Linked DNA regions of Anolis sagrei. The protein of the gene in region 1 interacts with the protein of each later gene in a biochemical or structural test. Links are inferred from orthologs where the notes say so. Each region holds a gene or a part of one and is shown in the gene's direction. Other genes may lie near its edges. The genes, in order: protein S100-A6-like, CEP43 and CACYBP.

Evidence for each region.
Region 2: the proteins of protein S100-A6-like (region 1) and CEP43 form a complex in vitro, tested with the Homo sapiens proteins (2 studies listed by BioGRID and IntAct, with this or other methods). The link is inferred for Anolis sagrei from reciprocal best matches to the Homo sapiens genes S100A6 and CEP43.
Region 3: the proteins of protein S100-A6-like (region 1) and CACYBP are reported together in a solved structure, tested with the Homo sapiens proteins (2 studies listed by BioGRID and IntAct, with this or other methods). The link is inferred for Anolis sagrei from reciprocal best matches to the Homo sapiens genes S100A6 and CACYBP.

What each region holds. Positions count from the first base shown.
Region 1 is NC_090032.1:1,006,638-1,014,401, reverse strand, and holds the start of protein S100-A6-like, read left to right. Parts: upstream 1-4,721; 5' UTR 4,722-4,826; intron 4,827-7,764. Other genes in the region: protein S100-A5-like, read left to right, coding at 1,261-1,398, 3,213-3,356. UniProt on the Homo sapiens protein: May function as calcium sensor and modulator, contributing to cellular calcium signaling.
Region 2 is NC_090021.1:64,214,703-64,222,024, reverse strand, and holds the start of CEP43 (centrosomal protein 43), read left to right. Parts: upstream 1-4,295; 5' UTR 4,296-4,346; coding exon 4,347-4,433; intron 4,434-6,749; coding exon 6,750-6,803; intron 6,804-7,322. UniProt on the Homo sapiens protein: Required for anchoring microtubules to the centrosomes. Required for ciliation.
Region 3 is NC_090024.1:129,682,327-129,690,045, reverse strand, and holds the start of CACYBP (calcyclin-binding protein), read left to right. Parts: upstream 1-4,709; 5' UTR 4,710-4,724; coding exon 4,725-5,021; intron 5,022-7,719. UniProt on the Homo sapiens protein: May be involved in calcium-dependent ubiquitination and subsequent proteasomal degradation of target proteins. Probably serves as a molecular bridge in ubiquitin E3 complexes. Participates in the ubiquitin-mediated degradation of beta-catenin (CTNNB1).

The sequences.
Region 1 (7,764 bases):
CTTGCTGGGAGGTGTTAATCTGTGCCTGGTTTTTTCCTCTCTGTTGTTTAGCTGTTATAATTTTAGAGTTTTTTAATACTGGTAGCCAGATTTTGTTCATTTTCATGGTCTCTTCCTTTCTGTTGAAATTGTCCACGTGCTTCTTGTGTATTTCAGTGGCTTCTCTGTGTAGCCTGACATGGTGGTTGTTGGTGTGGTCCAGCATTTCTGTGTTCTCAGATAATATGCTGTGTCCAGGTTGGTTCATCAGGTGCTCTGCTATGGCTGAAGTAGTCTGCCGTGCCTTTCATGTTCCTTGATGCGTGTCTGGGCAATGCTGCGTTTGGTGGTCCCTATGTAGACTTGTCCACAGCTGCATGGTACACGGGAGACTCCTGCAGAGGTGAGAGGATCCCTCTTGTACCGTGTACCATGCAGCTGTGGACAAGTCTACATAGGGACCACCAAATGCAGCATTGCCCAGACACGCATCAAGCTGTGGACAAGTCTACATTTCCCTGGGGAGTGAGTTCCACAGGTGGGGAGCCACCACTGAGAAAGCCCTGCTCCTCGTCCCCACCAGCCTCACTTGTGAGAGTGGTGGGGTCGAGAGCAGGGCCCCCCCCCAGATGATCTCAAGGTCCGGGGTGGGACGTAGAGGGAGATACGTTCGGACAGATACGCTGGACCGGAACCGTACAGGGTTCCGGTCCAGCGTATCTGTCCGAACGTATTTGAGAACACAGAAATGCTGGACCACTCTCACAACCACCATGTCAGACTACACAGAGAAGCCATTGAAATCCACAAGAAGCAAGTGGACAATCTCAACAGAAAGGAAGAGAACATGAAAATGAACAAAATCTGGCTACCAGTATTAAAAAACTCTAAAATTACAACAGCTAAACAACAGAGAGGAAAAAACCAGGCACAGATTAACACCTCCCAGGAACAGATTTTCCCAGGCTCAGGCAGGCCTTCAAATGCTAATGAAGGTGATCAGTTGAAACATTCACACCTAGCTCTACCAGACAAGAGTCCTTTGTCCCACCCTGGTCATTCCACAGATATATAAACCCATTTTCCTACTTCCAACAGACCTCACACCTCTGAGGATGCTTGCCATAGATGCAGGCGAAACGTCAGGAGAGAATGCCTCTAGAACATGGCTCTATAGCTCGAAAAAACCCACAAGAACCTGATGTGGTTTGAGCCCAGCATGAACTGCGGTGGGATTTGCAGTCCTCCCAAGGTCTCCTCCTCTCTTTGGCAGGACCCTCCATGGAGAGCCCCTTGGAGAAGGCCTTGGCCAGCCTGGTCCTCACTTTCCACCGGTATTCGGGCCAGGAAGGCAACCCCTTGACCCTCAGCAGGAAGGAGCTGAAGGAACTGGTCCAGAAGGAGCTGCAACTGGGAGAGGTCGGACCCTGCACCGCCCAACACCCCCTACAGGGGGACAACACAACAACAACAACAACAACAAACAACAACAACAACGATGACATAATTTAAAATAATAATAATACAATAGAATATATATATATATATATATATAGATAGATAGATAGATAGATAGATAGATAGATAATATTACAACAATAAGTCATAATATAACAATATAATATATATTATATAATAATATAATTATTATAACAATAATTTAAACATTGTAATAACAATGTAATATATATATATATAATACACTAATAAATCATAATATAAAACATATTATATGACAATAAATAATATATTGAATTAAATATAAGAATTATATATAAGAATTAAAAATCACAATAATGCCATAGAATATAATATATATATATATTATACAATAATATTGTAATGTTTATTATATAATAAAATATAATAATAATAATATATATTATATAATAAAATAATATAATAATTAATATTATATAATAAAATAATATAATAATCAATATAATGGTATTATAAAATAATATAATATAATAATTAATCATAACATAATAATATATATTATATAATATAATAGTCATATTAATAAGAATTTAAAAATCATGCTAACTATATATAATATATATATATAATACACTAATAAATCATAATATAAAACATATTATATGAGAATAAATAATATATTGAATTAAATATAAGAATTATATATAAGAATTAAAAATCATAATAATGCCATAGAATATAATATATATATATATATTATACAATAATATTGTAATGTTTATTATATAATAAAATATAATAATACATATTATATAATAAAATAATATAATCATTAATATAATAGTATTATAAAATAATATAATATAATAATTAATCATAATGTAATAATATATATTATATAATAGTTATATTAATAAGAATTTAAAAATCGTACTAACAATATATATAATACACTAATAAATCATGATATAATAATATATTATAAGAATTAAAAATTGTAATAATAATGCCATAGATTACAATAATATTGTAATGTTTATTATATAATAAAATCTAATAATAATAATATATATTATATAATAAAATAATATAATAATTAATATAATAGTATTATAAAATAATATAATATAATAATTAATCATAATAATATAATATAATAGTTATATTAATAAGAATTTAAAAATCATACTAACAATATATATATATATATATATATATAAAAATACACTAATAAATCATAATATAAAACATATTATATGAGAATAAATAATATATTGAATTAAATATAAGAATTATATATAAGAATTAAAAATCATAATAATGCCATAGAATATAATATATATATATATATTATACAATAATATTGTAATGTTTATTATATAATAAAATATAATAATACATATTATATAATAAAATAATATAATCATTAATATAATAGTATTATAAAATAATATAATATAATAATTAATCATAATGTAATAATATATATTATATAATAGTTATATTAATAAGAATTTAAAAATCGTACTAACAATATATATATATATATATATACTAATAAATCATAATATAAAACATATTATATGATAATATAATAATATATTATAAGAATTAAAAATTGTAATAATAATGCCATAGATTACAATAATATTGCAATGTGTATTATATAATAAAATATAACAATAATATATATTATATAATAAAATAATATAATAAATAATCATAATATAACAATATAATATATAATAATATAATATAATAATGATAATAATTATTATTATTATTTTCTGCAGCGCATGAAGGAGAGCGGCATCGACGTCCTGATGCGCAGCTTGGACCAGAACAAGGACCAGGAGGTCGACTTCAAGGAGTTCACGGCCTTCCTCTCGGCCCTTTGCATGGCTTACAACGACTTCTTCAAGCAGGGCGGCCAATAAAGAGCGGGGGAATCAATACGTAGTACATATATGCCTTCTCTGTATGGGGATTCCTTCCCTATTAGCCTCAAATAAAAGACCTGCGCCTTGCAAAAGACTGTGTTTGTTACGAAACACCATTTGCAGCATGCGAAGAAAAGCTGAGCACGAAGGAGGGAGGGAAAGAGTGTAACCGGGACACTTTAAAGAAGGACCGGAAAGTGGGAAGGGATCATGTATTATATATTTCCTTCAAAACACCCTTTGCAGCAAGGGAAGGAAGCTGAGCATGAAGGAGGGAGGGAAGGAGGGTAACCGGGACGCTTTATAAAAAGTCCAGAAAGTGGGAAGGGATCAAATATAATATATTTCCTTCAAATTACCCTTTAAAGTGTCCCGGTTACCCTCCTTCCCTCCCTCCTTCGTGCTCAGCTTTACAGTCCTTATTTCCTTCAAAACACCATTTGCAGCAAGTGAAGAAAAGCTGAGCACAAAGGAGGGAGGGAAGGACGGTAACTGGGACACTTTAAAGAAGGACCAGAAAGTGGGAAGGGATCGTGTATAATATATTTCCCTCAAAACACCCTTTGCAGCAAGTGAAGAAAGCTGAGCACGAAGGAGGGAGGGAAGGAGGGTAACCTGACACTTTAAAGAAGGACCGGAAAGTGGGAAGGGATCGTGTATAATCTATTTCCGTCAAAACACTCTTTGCAGCAGGCGAAGAAAGCTGAGCACGAAGGAGGGAGGGAAAGAGAGGTAACTGGGACACTTTAAAGAAGGACTGGAAAGTGGGAAGGGATCATATATAATATATTTCCTTCAAAACACCCTTTAAAGTGTCCCGGTCACCCTCCTTCCCTCCCTCCTTTGTGCTCAGCTTTCCAGTCTTCCTTATTTCCTTCAAAACACCCTTTGCAGCAAGCGAAGAAAGCTGAGCACGAAGGAGGGAGGGAAGGAGAGGTTGCCGGGACGCTTTATAGAAAGACCAGAAAGTGGGAATATATATATATATAATTTCCTAATGGGTTCTGTCTTGAAAACATGGGGAAAGTTTCATTTCCTTCAAAACACTATTTGCAGCAAGGGAAGGAAGCTGAGCACGAAGGAGGGAGGGAAGGAGAGGTAGCCGGGACGCTTTATAGAAAGACCAGAAAGTGGGAATATATATATATATAATTTCCTAATGGGTTCTGTCTTGAAAACATGGGGAAAGTTTCCTAAACTGCAGGAAAGCAGCCAATCCGGTTTCCTTCCCACCCTGGGGAAAACTTTTGCAATCTGGGGGAAAGTGAACAGGAGCAAAGAAAGGTGTGGCTGTGGGGGTATGCAAATGAGCAGGGCGTGGCACCCAATCAGGGCTCGTCCTGGGGGCGTGGCATGTGGGGAGGCCCCTCCCCTGTGTATAAAGAGAGGGTGGGTTGCATCCCTGGTCTCACTTGCCTGCCTCCCTTCCTTCCTTCCAGCCAACTTCTCTCTTCCTGCTTTCCACTGGTAAGTTTCCCTTCTTTTCCCCATAGAGAGAGAAAGCGTCAGTGGGGTGGGGGGTGCCTGGGTTCCCTGGCAGGGCCACTCCACCCTCCTTTTCCTCTTCCACTTCCACTGGAGAAGGTTTCCTGCCCTGAGGCATCCTCACCCAGGAGCCTGCACACCAACCAAGCTCCCTTTTCCAAGCTCTCTGCTGACATCTGGTGGCCAACCCGGGAATGGCGCCCCTGAGCATGAATAATTCTTTGGAGCCTGGATGGAGTGAACTACAACTCCCACCATCCTGGGCCTCAGGGATCTCTGGGTGTGGGCTGAGCTCTCCCTCCCACCCATGCTAACCCCCCCCCCCAATCCCCATCATCCTGGGTCACAGGCTCTCTGGAGATGGGGTGAGCTATAACTCCCACCATTCTAACTACAACTCCCATCGTTTTGGGTCACGCAGGCTCCCTGGGTGCAGGGTGACTATTACTCCCATACTCCCAACTACAGCTTCCATACTCCCAACTACAACTTCCATAATCCCAACTACAACTCCCACCATTCTAACTACAACTCCCATCATCCTGGGTCACAGGCACTCTGGGTGAACTATCACTCCTACCATTCTAACTACAGCTCCCATCGTTTTGGGTCACACAGGCTCCCTGGGTGCAGGGTGACTATTACTCCCATAATGCCAACTACAGCTTCCATAATCCTAACTACAACTCCCACCATTCTAACTACAACTCCCATCATTATGGGTTACTTGGGCTCCCTGGGTGCAGGGTGAGTATTATTCCCATCATTCTAACTACAACTCCCAGCATTTTGGGTGACACTGGCTTCCTGGGTGCAGGGTGACTATTACTCCCATAATCCTCACTACAGCTTCCGTACTCCCAACTACAACTTCCATAATCCTAACTACAACTCCCACCATTCTAACTGCAACTCCCATCATTATGGGTCACGCAGGCTCCCTGGGTGCAGGGTGACTATTACTCCCATAATCCTAACTACAACTCCCATCATTTTAGGTCACGCAGGCTCCCTGGGTGCAGGGTGACTATTACTCCCATAATCCTAACTACAACTCCCATCATTTTGGGTCACGCGGGCTCCCTGGGTGCAGGGTGACTATTACTCCCATAATCCTCACTACAACTCCCATCGTTTTGGGTCACGCGGGCTCGCTGGGTGCGGGGTGCCTATTACTCCCATAATCCTAACTACAACTCCCATCATTTGGATCACGCGGGCTCCCTGGGTGTGGGGTGACTTACTCCCATAATCCTAACTACAGCATTCATAATCCTAACTACAACTTCCATAATCCTAACTACAACTCCCACTCTAACGACAACTCCCACCATTTGAACTACAACTCCCAGCATTTTGGGTCACACGGGCTCCCTGGGTGCAGGGTGACTATTGCTCCCATAATCTACAACTCCCATCATTCTAACTACAACTCCCACACTTTTGGATCACAGGGATCTCTGGCTGTGGGGTGTACTACAACTCCCATCATCCTGGGTCATGAGGCTCTGGTTGCAGGGGAACTATAACTCCTATCATTTCAACTACAACCGTCATCATTTTGAGTCACAGGGCTTTCTGGGCGTGGGCTGTACTACAATGCCCTTCATCCTGGGCCACGGGGGTTCTGGATGTGGGTGAACTATAACTCCCATCATTCTAACTACATCTCCCATCATTTTGGGTCACAGGGGTTCTTTGGGTGTGGAGTGACTATTACTCCCATAATCCTAACTTCAATTCCCACTATTCTAACTACAACTCCCATTGTTTTGGGTCACACAGGCTCTCAGGGCATGGGTAAACTACAGCTCCCATTATCCTGGGTCATGGGGGATCTGGGTGTGGGGTGGACTACTACTCCCATCATCCTGAGTCATGGGAGCTCTAGGTGTGGCGTGAATTATAATTCCCATCATTCTAACTACAACTCCCATCATTTTGAGTCACAGGTCTTTCTGGTATGGGATGAACTACTACTCCCATCATCCTGAGTCATGGGGGTTCTGGGTGTGGCGTGAACTATAATTCCCATTATTCTAACTACAACTCCCATCATTTTGAGTCACAGGTCTTTCTGGTATGGGGTGAACTACAGCTCCCATCATCCTGGGTCATGGGGGCTCTGGGTGTGGCGTGAACTACTACTCCCATCGTCCTGGGTCATGGGGGCTCTGGGTGTGGCGTGAACTATAATTCCCATCATTCTGAGTCTCAGGGCTCTCTGGGCATGGGTCGAACTACAACTCTCAGCATCGATCCATACATACCGTTTTCACATTAATTTTATAGACACCAGATAAGAGAGGCAGAAGGAGAAAGATCCATGATGATGGGAGTTGTAGTCCGGAGGGGAGAGGCGTTCTTTTCCCCCCTTGGTTTGGCCATTAAGAGGGGAAAGCCGGGATGTCGCAACCACGTCTTCCAAGGCCGCTTCCCTTGCCCTCTCGCGGGCATCGAGCAGCCGCACCCTGGAATTAACCAGCATTTGAGTCATTTCTCCCGAGGCGGGTCCCATGGTCGCCGTCCTTGGCAATCCCGGGATTTGGAGTTTGGAGGAGCCATTTTACATATATACACATATACTAAAAGTGAAAAAAAATATGCTTAATAGTTTTAGCAGTGTGTGTGTGTGTGTGTATGTATATATATACACACACACACACATACATATAACATATATATATATATATATGCATATATATTTATATATATGAACAGAATGGTTTTAGTACTATATATATGTATGTTTTCTATATTTAATAGTATGTTGTCCTTTACATACGCACGCAGACATATGTACACACATGAAAATGTAATATATAATACACACAAAGACACACACACACACACATATATATTGCAAAAACTACTCAGCTTATATATATATATATATATATATATATATATATAGCTAAAA
Region 2 (7,322 bases), on another chromosome or scaffold:
GGCTTCAAACTACAAGAAAGGAGATTCCATCTGAATATTAGGAAGAACTTCCTGACTGTGAGAGCTGTTCAGCAGTGGAACTCTCTGCCCCGGAGTGTGGTGGAGGCTCCTTTTTTGGAGGCTTTTAAACACAGATGGGATGGCCATCTGTCAGGGGTGCTTTGAATGCAATTTTCCTGCTTCTTGGCAGGGGGTTGGACTGGATGGCCCATGAGGTCTCTTCTAACTCTATGATTCTATGAGGCAAGTATGAATGTTGCAATTGGCCACTTGCATGTAATGGTCGAGCCGGTTTAAAGGTCTGGCTTCATACTGCCTGGGGGAATCCTTTGTTGGGAGATGATTAGCTGGCCCTGATGGTTCCTTGTTTGGAATGCCCCTGCTTTTGAGTGTACTTTATTTATTGTTACAATTTTAGTGTTTTTCCATAGAACCTGGAAAACTCAGAACAACCCAGTGATTCTGGCCATGAAAGCCTTCGACACTACATTGCATTAATTCTATAGTGTAGACGTACCTATGGTCTGCTCACACTCCCAGATTTTGGATTAAAAAGGGCTACCATAGGCCCCATCTATGTTGCCCACAGTATAGATCAGGCATGGGCAAACTTCGGTCCTCCAGATGTTTTGGATTTCAACTCCCACCATTCCTAACAGCCTCAGGCCCCTTCCTTTTCCCCCTCAGCCGCTTAAGCAGCTGAAGAGGAAAAGGAAAGGGTCTGAGGCTGTTAGGAAATGTGGGAGCTGAAATCCAAAACATCTGGAGGACTGAAGTTTGCCCATGCCTGGTGTAGGCTCATATAATGCACTTGAATGCAGTTATAAAAGTCTACACTGATCATATAATGAAGTCTCAGAGTGCATATATAACAGTGTAGATGGGGCCTTGGAGCACAGAAGTCTGCTTTTGTCAGCCCAGTTACATGTCCTGAGCATGAATTGAACTCATAATAACATGAAGTCGGAGTCACTGTGTCTGGTTCTGAGTTGCGATATAATGTAGTTTGAACTATATGGTTAGCGTAGAACCTTATAATGTAGTTTGAACTACAGTAGAGTCTTGCTTATCCAACATAAACAGGCCATCAGAATGTTGGATAAGTAAAAATGTTGGATAATGAGTAGGGATTAAGGAAAAGCCTATTAAATTACGTTATGATTTTACAAGTTAAGCACCAAAACATCATGTTTTACAACAAATCGACAGAAAAATCAGTTTAATACCCAGCAATGTTATGTAGTAATTACTGTATTTACTAATTTAGTACCAAAACATCACAATGTATTGAAGCAGCTGTGGATCCGGGCAGGAGGCTGACTGCATTGGATAATACAGAACATTGGATGAGTGAAGGTTGGATAAGCGAGACTGTATATTTAACTGTCTTACATGTTTCTACACGGACTGGATAATGCAGTTCAAACTACATCATTTGGCAGTGTGGAACCAGCCTTTGAAAACAAACCTAGAATCAATTTATCTTCAGACAAAAAAACCCCCATAGGTTGGATCTACACTTCCATATAATGCAGTTTGGAACTGCATTATATAGTCAGTGTAGACCCATATATTGCAGTTCAATGCGGTTGACACACATTATATGAGTCTACGCTGCCATATAATGTAGTGTAGATCCACCATTACCTATCCATGGAGATTAGGGCTTGCATACAAATGAAGCAATAGGCGAAGAAGCTTTAATTCAAGGCACTTCTCTCCAGTTAACAATTACACAATCATGTTTTTTTGGTCTGCAGGTTTGATAACTAGCTCTTTTAGAAAATGGATTTTAGTGCCACCTACAGTGACATTTTGGAAACACAGACAAACTTTTAAGCCTGTTTTCTTTATGAGGAAATCTGGTACAGTTTTATACATTCCTAGCTGTATAAATCCCTAGCTGTATGATGTTCCTATAGTATTCAGATTCAAAGACCATGCATGACCATCTGCACATAAGGTTAGTCTGTTAGTGGAATGGACTTGGGAGATGTAAACTTGTGTAGTTTCAGGTCTATTTCTAGGACCACAAAGGCCAAGGTGAACAGAGCAGTTTTTGCAGCTTTATTCAACAGTGAAATCTAAAGCCAAGTACAAAAGTGGAGAAAATAAATGGCCGTCAGCTGAGTTGCTGGCAAACCTATGTTCAAAGTTTTGCTTACACTAGCTGAATCTCATCAACTGACATTTTAATTCCTGGGATTTTGTTTTTAACTCTCAGCACCCTTAGGATTTTGTTGTGACCTGCGGTTTTGGAGTCTCGTCTTTCTTTGCTTAGACGATCTTCTTTGGCTTTAAGCAACATCTAGTGCAATAGTACTATCCATATTTACATTACAGAATTAATGCAGTTTGACATCGCTTTAACAGTCATGGCTCGTGTTGTTCTTTATTCGTTCAGACGCTTCCGACTCTTTGTGACCTCATGGACCAGCCCACGCGAGAGCTCCCTGTCAGCTGTCACCACCTTCAGCTCCTTCAGAGTCAAACCAGTCACTTCAAGGATACCATCCATCTTGCCCTTGGTCGGCCCCTCTTTCTTTTTCCTTCCATTTTCCCCAGAATCATTGTCTTCTCTAAGCTTTCCCGTCTTCTCATTATGTGGCCAAAGTACTTCATCTTGGCCTCTAATATCCTTCCCTCCAGTGAGCAGTCGGGCTTTATTTCCTGGAATATGGACTGGTTGGATCTTCTTGCAGTCCAAGACATTCTCAGAATTTTCCTCCAACACCACAGTTCAAAAGCGTCTATCTTCCTCCGCTCAGCCTTCCCTATGGTCCAGCTCTCACATCCATAGATTACTACAGAGAATACCATTGCTTTGACTGTGTGGATCTTCGTTGCCAGTGTGATGTCTCCACTCTTCACTGTTTTATCGAGATTGGTCATTGCTCTCCTCCCAAGAAGTAAGTGTCTCCTGATTTACTGGCTGCAGTAATCTTTGCATGACTCAATGCTATGAAATTCCAGGAGTTGTAGTTTTACAAGGTTTTTGTGTTCTCTGACAGTGCTAGCGCATCAGCGAACTACAACTCCCAGACTCCCATAGCATTGGATCTGTGAAGTTAGTGTTAAACTCCATTAAGCTAACAGTGTAGATGCATGGTCACAGATAAGCATTCTGTAAGTAGGCTGAGCCTTCAACTGAAGACATTTTGTGATTTGTAGTTTGTTGTGCCCCCTTGATGGATTGTCACCTTGTCGTGAGGGGACTTGCATGTTCCAGTGAACCCGCGGGCACAACTACCGGAGTCATGCACTCCCAGGAGGGGCCGCAGGGGAGGTTCCAGACCAAGCACAGTCCGAAGACCCGAAGACCTCAACCGCGGATCAGGCGGAGGATAACATGGTACATGTTACAACAGCTGTGATAGCAGAAGAAGGTTGCAACAGATTGAGAAGCCATCATCGTCATGTTAACCACGCCACTGGATGGGACCTCTCTCTGTGAAGACTGTGTTGATCGGCTGTGCACTGACCTTCACACATTTTTAAAAAAAACTCACGCACAGGCATCTTCCAAGAAAAATAAAAACAAACCAAAGAGGCATGAATGGAGAGCGAAAGGGAGAAACGTGCCAAGAGGAAGGCACGTCGAGCCAAACCTGACCGAGACCACCTTCCATTGGAAACCAATGTCCTCATTGCAGGAGAACATGTGGATCAAGAATAGGGCTCCACAGTCACCTACAGACCCACTGCCAAGACACTTCACTTGGAGGACCACTATCCTTGAGTTACGTTAAAGTTAAGTTTGTTGTGGTACCAGAGGTCCGTGACAAAAACGATTAAATATGTCTTAAAAACTAAAAAAAACCCAAAATTTATATTGAACTACGGCAATCAAAGTGATGTCAAACTGCTCTAATACTCCAGTGTAAGGACAGCTGCAACTACACTGTAGAATTAATACAGTTTGATACCACTTTAACTGCCATGACTCGCTGCTATGGAATCATGGGAGCTGAAATTTGGAGAGGCACCAGCAGTCTTTGTAAGAGAAAGCTTCCGACCGTGTAAAACTACGGCTCCCGAGATTCCACAGCGCCCTGACAGTTAAAGTGGGGTGAAGCTACAGTGCAGATACTCTTGACATCCCCAGCTGAAGCAAGGTTCCTTCACTTCCTGAAAGTACCTCCCTTCTCCAAAGCCCCGCCCCCTTGTCCTCGCCCAGCCAATCACAGCTCCTGGTGACGCGCTGCCCTTTCTTTCATTCGCACATTCGCGGCGCCTCGGAGCGCGGGTCTTGTCGCCTCCTTCTCCCCCCCTCTTTCTGGAGTGACGAATCTGCGGGGCGGGCTCGACCGCTAGTTCAGTTTAGGCGGTTGTCAGGGAGAAGCAAGATGGCGGCGGCGACAGAGGAAGATACCGAGCTGAGGGACCTCCTTGTGCAGACCCTGGAGACGAGCGGCGTGCTGAATAAAATCAAGGTGTGGATGTGTGCCTGAGGTTCACCGAAGCCTTGGGCGGACCTCTGAGTGGCGTGGCGCGTCGCGAATTGGGAACGATGGAGGGGAGCTGGGGCTGAAGACCCACGACGGCCCTCCGCCAACTGCCATTCCCGCCATTCCTCGAGGCTGTGCGTTCTCTGGGGAAGAGCGCCACGCGCAGCCTTGGCCTCAGGGCGCATGCGTGGGACTTTTATTGGGGTTAAGGGGATCAGAGAGTTCATGGCCGTATTACCCATGTTAGGACAGAAGAAATGCGTGGAGGTACAGAATCATAGAGCTAGAAGGGACTCCCTAGGCCGGCCAGCATTGCCTGTCTCATAGTGAACCAGTAAATGTCCACTGTCATAGCCAGGGCAAGCAGACAATATTGCTTTCTCTTGTTGTTTGGCCCTTGTGACATGCTTTTTAGGGGAGAACTCTCTTTGACCTTAAACCTTTGGTCTTCCAGATGTCTGGGACTTCAACTCCCAGAAGCCACAGCCAACTTTGCCAACAGTCAGTAATTATGGTATCTATAGGACCAAAATCTGGGACCATTGCTCTCCTGGATGTGAAAGATCAGGCAGAGAGGATCTGGGATCCTTATCAGCATCATGATCAAACGTTGATAGCTGACTAATTGCACAAAGGAGTTATTTCTTGTTCAGTATCTTGTTCAGAGATGGCTAAGTACATCTACGCTGCAGAGTTGATACCATTTTAGCTGCCATGGGTGATAGTATGATAGCATGGGTGGAGGATGAGCAGGAAGAAGTCAGGTGAGGGAATATTGTAGTTGAGAGAGACTTGAGGTCTGACACATGGTGGCAAAGTAGGAAAGGGATGTACAAACAGAACTGTTAACAAGAAAGGAGTGTAGAATATTTTTTGAGGGGGGGAGGTAATCCTACAAACAAGGAGCGCTGACTTTAGATTACTGTGCACTGTAAACCCTCCTTTGCAGAGAGAAAATACGAGACTATGACAGCATGAGAAAACTGGGTTGCTGTAAGTTTTTCGGGCTGTATGGCCATGTTCCAGAAGCATTCTCTCCTGATGTTTCACCTGCATCTGTGGCAGGCAAACTCAGAGGTTGTGAGGTCTATTGGAAACTAAGAAAACGGGGTTTATATATCTGTGGAATGTCCAAGGTGGGACATCCCACCTTGGACCTCCCATCCTGGATATTCCATAGATATATAAACCCAATTTTCCTAGTTTCCAACAGACCTCACAACCTCTGAGGAAGCCTGCCATTAATGCAGGTGAAACGTCAGGAGAAAATGCTTCTGGAAAATGGCCATACAGCCCGAAAAACTTACAGCAATCCAGTGATTCCAGCCATGGAGGCCTTTGACAATACATGAGAGAACTGTTGTCCATTTCTGTATTTTCTATTCCTCTCTATTTTCCATTGAATGCTCTACTATGCAGTACAACAATTCCATTCTGCTTATATTGACTCTTTTCCTTTATTCCTTCAGTTTCAGCTTAATTTTTATTTAATTTTGTTTTATTGTTTTTAGTCTTTCTGTAAATAACTAAAACAGAGTATTAGTTCCACATATAGCAATTGCACTGAATTTAAAAGGGGTTGTGTATGCTGTTCTTCTTCCTTTATTTCTTTGTAACTTTACTACAGTTCCAAACACGACAATTTGAAACAAATACAAAATATATGGAAAATTGGCACTTTTCATGTGCTGTGCTCTATATTGTTATTAAATACACTAAACTTGAACTTTCAATTCTTGCCACTAGTTTACTTGAACAAATGTTGAGGAAGAGATAAACAGTGTATGACTTTCTATTTGATTTTGTGGGCTTCATTAGCTATGGAAGTTAATAACTCATGGGAATTGCAGTCCTACTTGTAGGGATCCACACATTCCTGTCACACCAGTGTACAAGGATGTGGCAATTTAGTTTCTTTAATGGGACATTATTGCATCTCAAGTAGTAGTTCTGTTTGCTTCACATTTTTAGAACGGTTACTATGCTTTATGTAATGGACTTTTGTGCTTACTCAAGTGTTTCTTGAAAAATACATCTTACAGATTGTTCTGCTACTGCTAGCACAGTGGGATTTCTGTTAAATACTTGAACATCATCTAAAACAGAAGGAAAAATAACATAAATGTTACCAAAGTTTACGTCCTATGAAATCAGAGACCTATCAAATATTTAGAGATTTAACAGAAAGAAGAACACAGAAAATTGCTTTTAGAACCATCATCTGGGTGCTGTTTGGCTTGTTACCTGATTTTAATGTATGTAGACATACATATTTTGCATATTTTTGACTTTCTTTTGCAGGCAGAGTTGCGGGCAGCTGTGTTTTTGGCTCTTGAAGAGCAAGAAAAAGTAGAGGTAAAGTTCGACTTTAATTTGGTTTCTCTGATTTTAGTATAATATGCACATGTTTTGCATGTTAAACTAACAGCTTTTGAACTCTATTTGATAGAGGGGATATTGGTAGGGGGATTTTAGCAGCCATTTTGTCTTCCATTTTTGTCAGTGTGTGCAAGGGCTGACTGTTAGGATTATGGTTGCAAACTGAAATTAGTGTCATTTATTGTTTGAAAGTCTGCAGCTGATGGAAGCAAAATATTCCAGTAAAGGGGGTGTTTCTTTAGACTTCAGTGTCATCTTTTTCACTTATTTCATTTGATAAAATTAGAGATGAATAATGTTTGGATTTACACCACTATACATTTTTTTAAAAAACAAGGATTCTTACTTTGCTTTTAGCAGTGTATCTTCGGGTGTATACGTTAGTACCAATTAAAACATTTAGTGTTTTAATATGTTATCCTGTTGCAGTGCTGTTAAGATCACCCAAATTAGATTGATATTGGTATTTCTTATCCGTTGCCCTCATGCTTTGAC
Region 3 (7,719 bases), on another chromosome or scaffold:
AAAGGGGGAGGAAAAGGGGGAAGAAATAGGTAGGTACCTCTCTTTCATAATAGTCCAGATATCTATCTCAACTTTGATAAGTTTTACTATAGGCCACAGCAACGCGTGGCAGGGCACAGCTAGTACTTATATAAATCTTACACACATCTAGAAAGAAGTGTGCACACACTGTACTGGGAAACAAACAGGCCATGTTGGGATGGTACAAAAGAATATAATTAAAAGCATGGAAATACACTGTAAAAATTGCTTAATAAAATGTGTTTAGATACAATTAAATTCCAAACAATTATATGAATTGAATGTACATTAAAGCTACACAGCCTTATTACCAGTAAGCAATAATTTGATATCCCTCCTGTTCCTGGAACTATGATGTCCAAGTAACACCTAGCATGTTTGGTCCATTTCGACAACTACAAGCTTATTACAGACCCAAGTAGCTTGACTGTCAAAGATCCTCACAAGAAGATACATTAGGGAATGTACATACAGATTAATGCAAAGGCTAGTTTCACCTGAGTCTGGAGCAGGAAGATTTCTTATATTGGATACCTCCAAGAGAAACTTGGCAATGGACAAAGTCACATGGGGAAAATTATCTTCCAGTGAAAACTTGATATAGGAAGGTTGCTCAATAGTGGGTTGATAATATGTTGTAAAACCTGCTTGTAAAACCTGCAGGTTTGACACTTCCTGGTTACTGTATGGGAAAGGTCTTGCACTATATGGATGCTCTTAAGTAGCAAAATCTATTGGGCTGGCCCTGTCTCCATCTGCAATACGTGGATGAATAATAACATCTCAAATATTTTTTATGTATGGATAACAAATAAACCATTTTGAAGTGCTATGCACAATTCTGAATATTAGCTTATATTTAACTAATCAATACTTGCATTTTAACTATCAAAAGGAAAGCAAAACATTCTAAGGGATGTCATTTAAATCCTCGGCTTTCTCATCACAACAGGAAAAATAATTGGACACCTGAAAGTGGAAAAAAGGGTTAAGGATATACAACTAATTTCATGTGGGTCCAGTGTTGAATGGTAGGTTAATATCACTTCCTGTTCCTGAACCTCTGTGCAGTTGTGACCGGGTTCAGAGCTCCAGAACTGTAATTTCCCTTTTAAAATTGTGACTTAAGATTTTTTTCATTTATTTTATAATAAAAACACAATTGCATCGTTACATTGATTATTCCCAACCTTTTGCTCCCCCATCCCACCATCACCATACACATAACAGTGTACAGTTCTCAGTTCTCTTGCTTTTAGTTATAGGCAGTCCCCAAGTTATGAACAAGATAGCTTTAAAAATGAGGGCGAAAGGCGCCCCTGAAGTTTTCCCAATTATAGTAATTTATGCGCAATTACTGTAACCAAATTTCGTTATAGTAACGAATTTTTCCACTAATTGTACTTTAGAAACACTTTAGAAATGAAATGCTAGCACCTCCCAGTTTTGTAATAACTTTTGAAACATTTTTAAATGGATCAGACATCCCTAGTGTTCACCTTTCCCTATAGAATCATACAGTTGAAAAAGATCTCATGGGCCATCCAGTCCAACCCCCTGCCAAGAAGCAGAAAAACTGCATTCAAAGCACCCCCGACAGTTGGCCATCCAGTTGCTGTTTAAAAGCTTCCAAAGAAGGAGCCTCTACAAAACTCCAGGGCAGAGAGTTCCACTGCTGAACGGCTCCCACAGTCAGGACGTTCCTCCTAATGTTCAGATGGAATCTCCTTTCTTGTAGTTTGAAGCCATTGTTCCGCATCCTAGTCTCCAGGGCAGCAGGAAATAATAATAATAATAATAATAATAATAATAATAATAATAATAATCTTTATTTATACCCCGCCACCATCTCCCCTGTGGGGACTCGGAGCGGCTTACATGGGGCCAAGCCCGAACAACATATTACAGCAATAAAATCAAAACATAAACAACAAATAACAACAACATCAAAATTACATTAAAAATGCAGTCATAAAATAACATTCTAATAAACACAATCACGATAACGATAACAATGGGCGGGCCGCATATATATATATATATATATATATATATATATATGTTCTGTACATAATGAGTACCTTAAAAACAAAAGGCCCAATGAACGAAATCACACCAAATTTGACAACAAAATGTCTCACTACACAAGGAGTGCCCATCAATCAAAAATTATGATTTTGTCATTTTGGAGTTGTAGTTGCTGGGATTTATAGTTCACCTATAATCAATGAGCATTCTGAACTCCACCAACAATGGAATTGAACCAAACCTGGTACACAGAACTCCCATGACCAACAGAAAATACCAAAAGGGTTTGGTGGGCATTGACCTTGAATTTTGGAATTGTAGTTCACCTCCATCCAGAGAACACTGTGGACTCCAACAATGATGGATCTGGACCAAACTTGACAGGAATACTCAATATGCCCAAATGTGAACACAGATGGAGTTTGGGGGAAATAGAACTTGACATTTGGGAGTTGTAGTTACTGGGATTTATTGTTCACCTACAATCAAGGGGCATTCTGAACCCCACCAACGACAGAATTGGGGCAAACTTACTGTGTTTTCTGGTGATCTTTGGTGACCTTCTGACACCCCCCTGGTGACCCCCGGGGTCTTGACTTCCCAGATTGAGAAATGCTACCTTAAGGCCATCCAGTCCAACTCCCTTCACCAGGGCAAGAAAACATAATCACAGCCCTCCCGACAAAGGGCCATCCAGCCATTCACACATACACATATATGTATATGACAGATTCAGTATCAAAGATTTGAAAGGGACCCCTAAAGAAGGAGAATGATATGTTGCATGTTCCAGAGTAGGCAAACCAAACAATCTCCACATCAACACTGGCAAAGAAACAGCAAGAAATCCTGTTTACTCACAAGCAGAAAGAAATTACATATATTAGAAACCAACACTTTCCCATTACTTTTTTCCCAGATCACCAGACTGGGCCACAGCAATGCGTGGCAGGGGACCGCTAGTACAGGATAAGAACAATTAAAGGACTGAAATAAAATAAAATAGGAGGAGGACAATTACGGGGGATTCATAAAATACGTAGAATTGTGAGGCTAAACATCCCATTTGGAGGTGCGAGCTCCAGTAGCAAAAACGTTGGGGGATGCAAAATGTCGTGGTGTGCACCTAATCACCAAAGGCGCAGCGGAAGAACCAAGTTTTACGGTTCTTTTTAAACATTTCTAGTGAAGGGGCTTGCTCCCTCCTCCCTATGATTTCCTCTCACATATTTATGCATGGCTATCATGTCTCCTCTCAACCTTCTCTTCTTCAGGCTAAACATGCCCAGCTCTTTAAGCCGCTCCTCATAGGGCTTGTTCTCCAGACCCTTGATCATTTTAGTTGCCCTCCTCTGGACACATTCCAGCTTGTCAATATCTCGCTTCAATTGTGGTGCCCAGAACTGGACAGAATATTCCAGGTGTGGTCTAACCAAGGCAGAATAGAGGGGTAGCATGACTATGCTATCCAAAGCTAATTTATATAAATAAAAATGTAATGTTCGTTTGTGCTATTCACAGAACTCAGAAACCACTCCGGCAATTGACACCAAATTTGGACACTATGTCCCTAACAACCCAATGTATGTTCTCCACTAAAAAAAAACAACGGAAATGAAAAGCAGAAAGGACATCTAAACTGCATGTCCACAAAGGGGAAACTGCATGTCTACAGAGACCCATGGCCACGCCCCCTCCTCTTCCTCATGGGGAAACAGCCTGCCGTTAAAGCCAGGCGCACATGCACAGCCACATGCACACACACACACAAGGGAGTGGAGGAGGTGGAGGCAGTCTCCTCCTTTCCCTGTTGGAAGAGGAAATGGCAGATGAGTGCCAGCAGCAGCAACGAAGCAAGGAAGAAGGGGAGGAGGAGGGGGGAGGCGAGGAAGGTCCACAGTGCTTGAATGAAGGACCTTCCTTCTCTCCCTCCCTTCCCTTCTTTCCTCCCTTCCTTTTTCTTCTTTCCCTCCTTCCCTTCCTTCCTGTTCCTCCTTCCTTTCCTCCCCCCCCTTTCCTTCTTCTTTCCCTTTCTTCATTTCCTTCCCTTCCTCCTTTCTTCATCCCCCTCCTTCCTTCCTTCTCCTCCCTCCCTGTCCCTCCTTGTTTTCCTTCCTTCCCTTCTTTCCCTCCCTCCCTCCCTCCCTTTTTCCTTCCTTCATGTCTCTCCTTCCTTCCTTCTTCCTTTCCTTCTTTCTATGTAAGATATAAATACAATATTAAATGGAAGGGACAATCAAGAAGTAACGAGAGAAGGAGGGAAAGAGGGAAGGAAGGAAGGCGAGAAGTAGGGAGGGAAAGAAGGAAAGAAAGAAAGATAGAGAAAGATGAGAGATAGGGAAAGACAAAGAGGAAAGGAAGGAGGGAAGGGAGGAGAGAAAGAGGGAGGGGAGGTTGGCCACAGCAATGCGTGGCGGGTACTATATATATATTAGGCTGGAATTATACATAAAATGTACCTGTTCCGACTTACAAACAAATTCAACTTAAGAACAAACTGTGTACATTCTGTATGACTTGCAATGGTAAAAGAAAGCTGAGAAGAGAGGCGTCTTTGGGAGGAAAGCGGCCTTGTGGGAGCTTCATGCTCTCTCCACTCCTTCCTCTTGTTCCTCACTTGGGGCCTGCCTATATCTGTATTTAGAGACAACTCTCTTGCAGGCCTACTCTGTGAAATGCTTGGGATACGGAAAACTCAAGGGAAATACCTCAGGAAACAGAAGGGAGAACTATCGACCCCTCCACTGAAACTTTCAGCTTCCCCGGCACAAACCCGGAAATCCGGCAGGCAACAAGCCTCTTGCCAGCCCAGCTTTGGTCGTTTCCGGCCAGAGCGCGCCTTCCCTATTGGCTGGGAGGTCAGGAGGACAGTGACGTCATTGGCAGTGACGGCGCGCGAGGCAAGCTCGAGAGCGGCGCGAGGAGGCTGGCTTTTGCTCCTTTATTCCGCAGCCGCCCTCGAGATGGAGGAGGTGAGCATGCGCCGAGGGGGAGGGAAGGGTCGCTGGGCCTCAGGAAGGGGGAGAGGGTGGGCCTCCAAAGGAGTCTCTGGAGGGCAGTGGGGCGGAGGAGGAAATACAGGGCTCACAGACCCCGAAGCAGGGGTTTCTGGTTGAGGTCTGGCCCCAGTTAGAAGGCACCCCAAAGGCCATCCAGTCCAAACCTCTGCCAGGCAGGAAAAGCACAATCAGAGCAGCCCCAACAGATGGCCATCCAGCCTCTATTTAAAGGCCTCCAGAGAAGGAGATCAATTGATAGAATTATAGAGTTGGAAGAGGCCACGTGGGCCATCTAGTGCAACCCCCTGCCAGGCAGGAAAAACACCATCAAAGCACCCCCGACAGATGGCCATCCAGCCTCTATTTAAAGGCCTCCAGAGAAGGACATTGATAGATAGAATCATAGAGTTGGAAGAGACCATGTGGACCAATCTGTCCAACACCCTGTCAGGCAGGAAAAGCACCATCAAAGCACCCCTGACAGATGGCCATCCAGCTTCTGTTTAAAGGCCTCCAGAGAAGGAGATCAATTGATAGAATTATAGAGTTGGAAGAGATCATGTGGGCTATCTAATCCAACCCCCTGTCAGGCAGGAAAAACACCATCAAAGCAACCCCGACAGATGGCCATCTAACCTCTGTTTAAAGGCTTCCAGAGAAGGAGAGCGATAGAGTTGGAAGAGGCCTTTAGAAAAGGGGATCGATAGATAGAATCTTAGAGTTGGAAGAGGCCACGTGGGCCATCTAGTGCAACCCCCTGCCAGGCAGGAAAAGCACCATCAAAGCACCCCTGACAGATGGCCATCCAGCCTCTGTTTGAAGGCCTCCAGAGAAGGAGATCGATTGATAGAATCTTAGAGTTGGAAGAGGCCATGTGGGCCATCTAGTCCAACGCCCTGCCAGGCAGGAAAAACACCATCAAAGCATCCTGCCAGCCAGGACAAACACCATCAGAGCACCCTGACAGATGGCCATCCAGCCCCTGTTTAAAGGCCTCCAGAGAGCGAGATCGATAGATAGAATCATAGAATTGGAAGAGGCCACATGGGCCATCTAGTCCAACTCCCTGCCAGGCAGGAAAAGAACAATCAAAGCAGCCCCGACAAATGGCCACCCAGCTTCTGTTTAAAAGCCTCCGAAGAATAAGCTTCCGCCACACTCTGAGGCAGAGAGTTCCACTGTTGAACAGCTCTCACAGTCAGGAAGTTCTTCCTAATGTTCAAGTGGAATTTCCTTTCCTGTCATTTGAATATATTGCCCCAAGTGGCACTACCTAAAAGAATCCCACACCTTATGTGGCTGTGGAGCAGAACAGACAACTCCGCACCTTTATGCTTGTCCACTATGCCCTGCCTCATGTACAGAGGAAGACTTGTTAGAGGCCATATTGTTGCCTGTTTTTGGTCAAAAGATATTTAGCCACCTGTGCTCCTTCTATTTTTATTGGTTATATACTAATTTATGCAATGCTTTTGATACGAAATAATAATAACTGGCCCAAGTGAGCAGTGGGGTGCCACAAGGGTCTGTCCTGGGCCCAGTGCTGTTCCACGTATTTACCAATGACTTGGATGACAAAATAGAAGGCATGCTTATCAGATTTGCAGAGGAAAGAAGGCTGAAAGGGGGCATGATAGCTATGTTTATATATTTGTACGGAAGTCAAGTTGAAGACGTGGCAAGCTTCTTTGCATTATCGTAATGCATTATCATTTGGATACATTTGTGTCTCAGCAAGCTTGTTCGGTTTGCTGATCTTTGCTAAGAAGTCATTGCTGATTAAGCAGTCACAAATCTCAGTCTGAACACATATGTCAAGGTCTTGCATTGTCAGCTTAACTACAGTAATGAAATTCTGCAGTGCCACTCCCAGAAAAACCTACCTTGCAGCCTGACCAAAAGATTTCTGTTGTGCTAGATATCTGGGTCCTGAGGAATAGCCTTTGCAGTGTCTGATCGTGTGTCACGTGTCAGAAGCAACTTGAGAATCTGCAAGTCGCGTCTGGTGTGAGAGTATTGGCCGTCTGCAAGGACGTTGCCCAGGGGACGCCCAGATGATTTGATGTTTTATCATCCTTGTGGGAGGCTTCTCTCATGTCCTCGCATGAGGAGCTGGAGCTGACAGAGGGAGCTCATCCACCTCTCCCCGGATTCAAACCTGCGACCTGTCGGTCTTCAGTCCTGCCGGCACATGGGGTTTAACCCATTGCGCCACCGGGGGCTCTGCAGTGTCCGATATTTATTTATCATGTCATCAGCAACCATACCATTGTATTACATTTCTAACAGAACAAAACAAACAGATTTTTTAAAAAAACAAAACACAGATTTTGCCAACTTGGTAGTTGGTTAAATGTCCTTCGACCAGTATCTGGCCACTTGGAGTGCCTCTGGTGTTGCCGCAAGAAGGTCCTCCATTGTGCATGTGGCAGGGCTCATGTTGCATTGCAGCAGGTGGTCAGTGGTTTGTTCTTCTCCGCACTCGCATGTCGTGGATTCCACTTTGTAGCCCCATTTCTTAAGATTGGCTCTGCATCTTGTGGTGCCAGAGTGCAGTCTGTTGAGTGCCTTCCAAGTCGCCCAGTCTTCTGTGTGCCCAGGGGGGAGTCTCTCATCTGGTATCACCCACGGATTGAGGTGCTGGGTTTGGGCCTGCCACTTTTGGACTCTC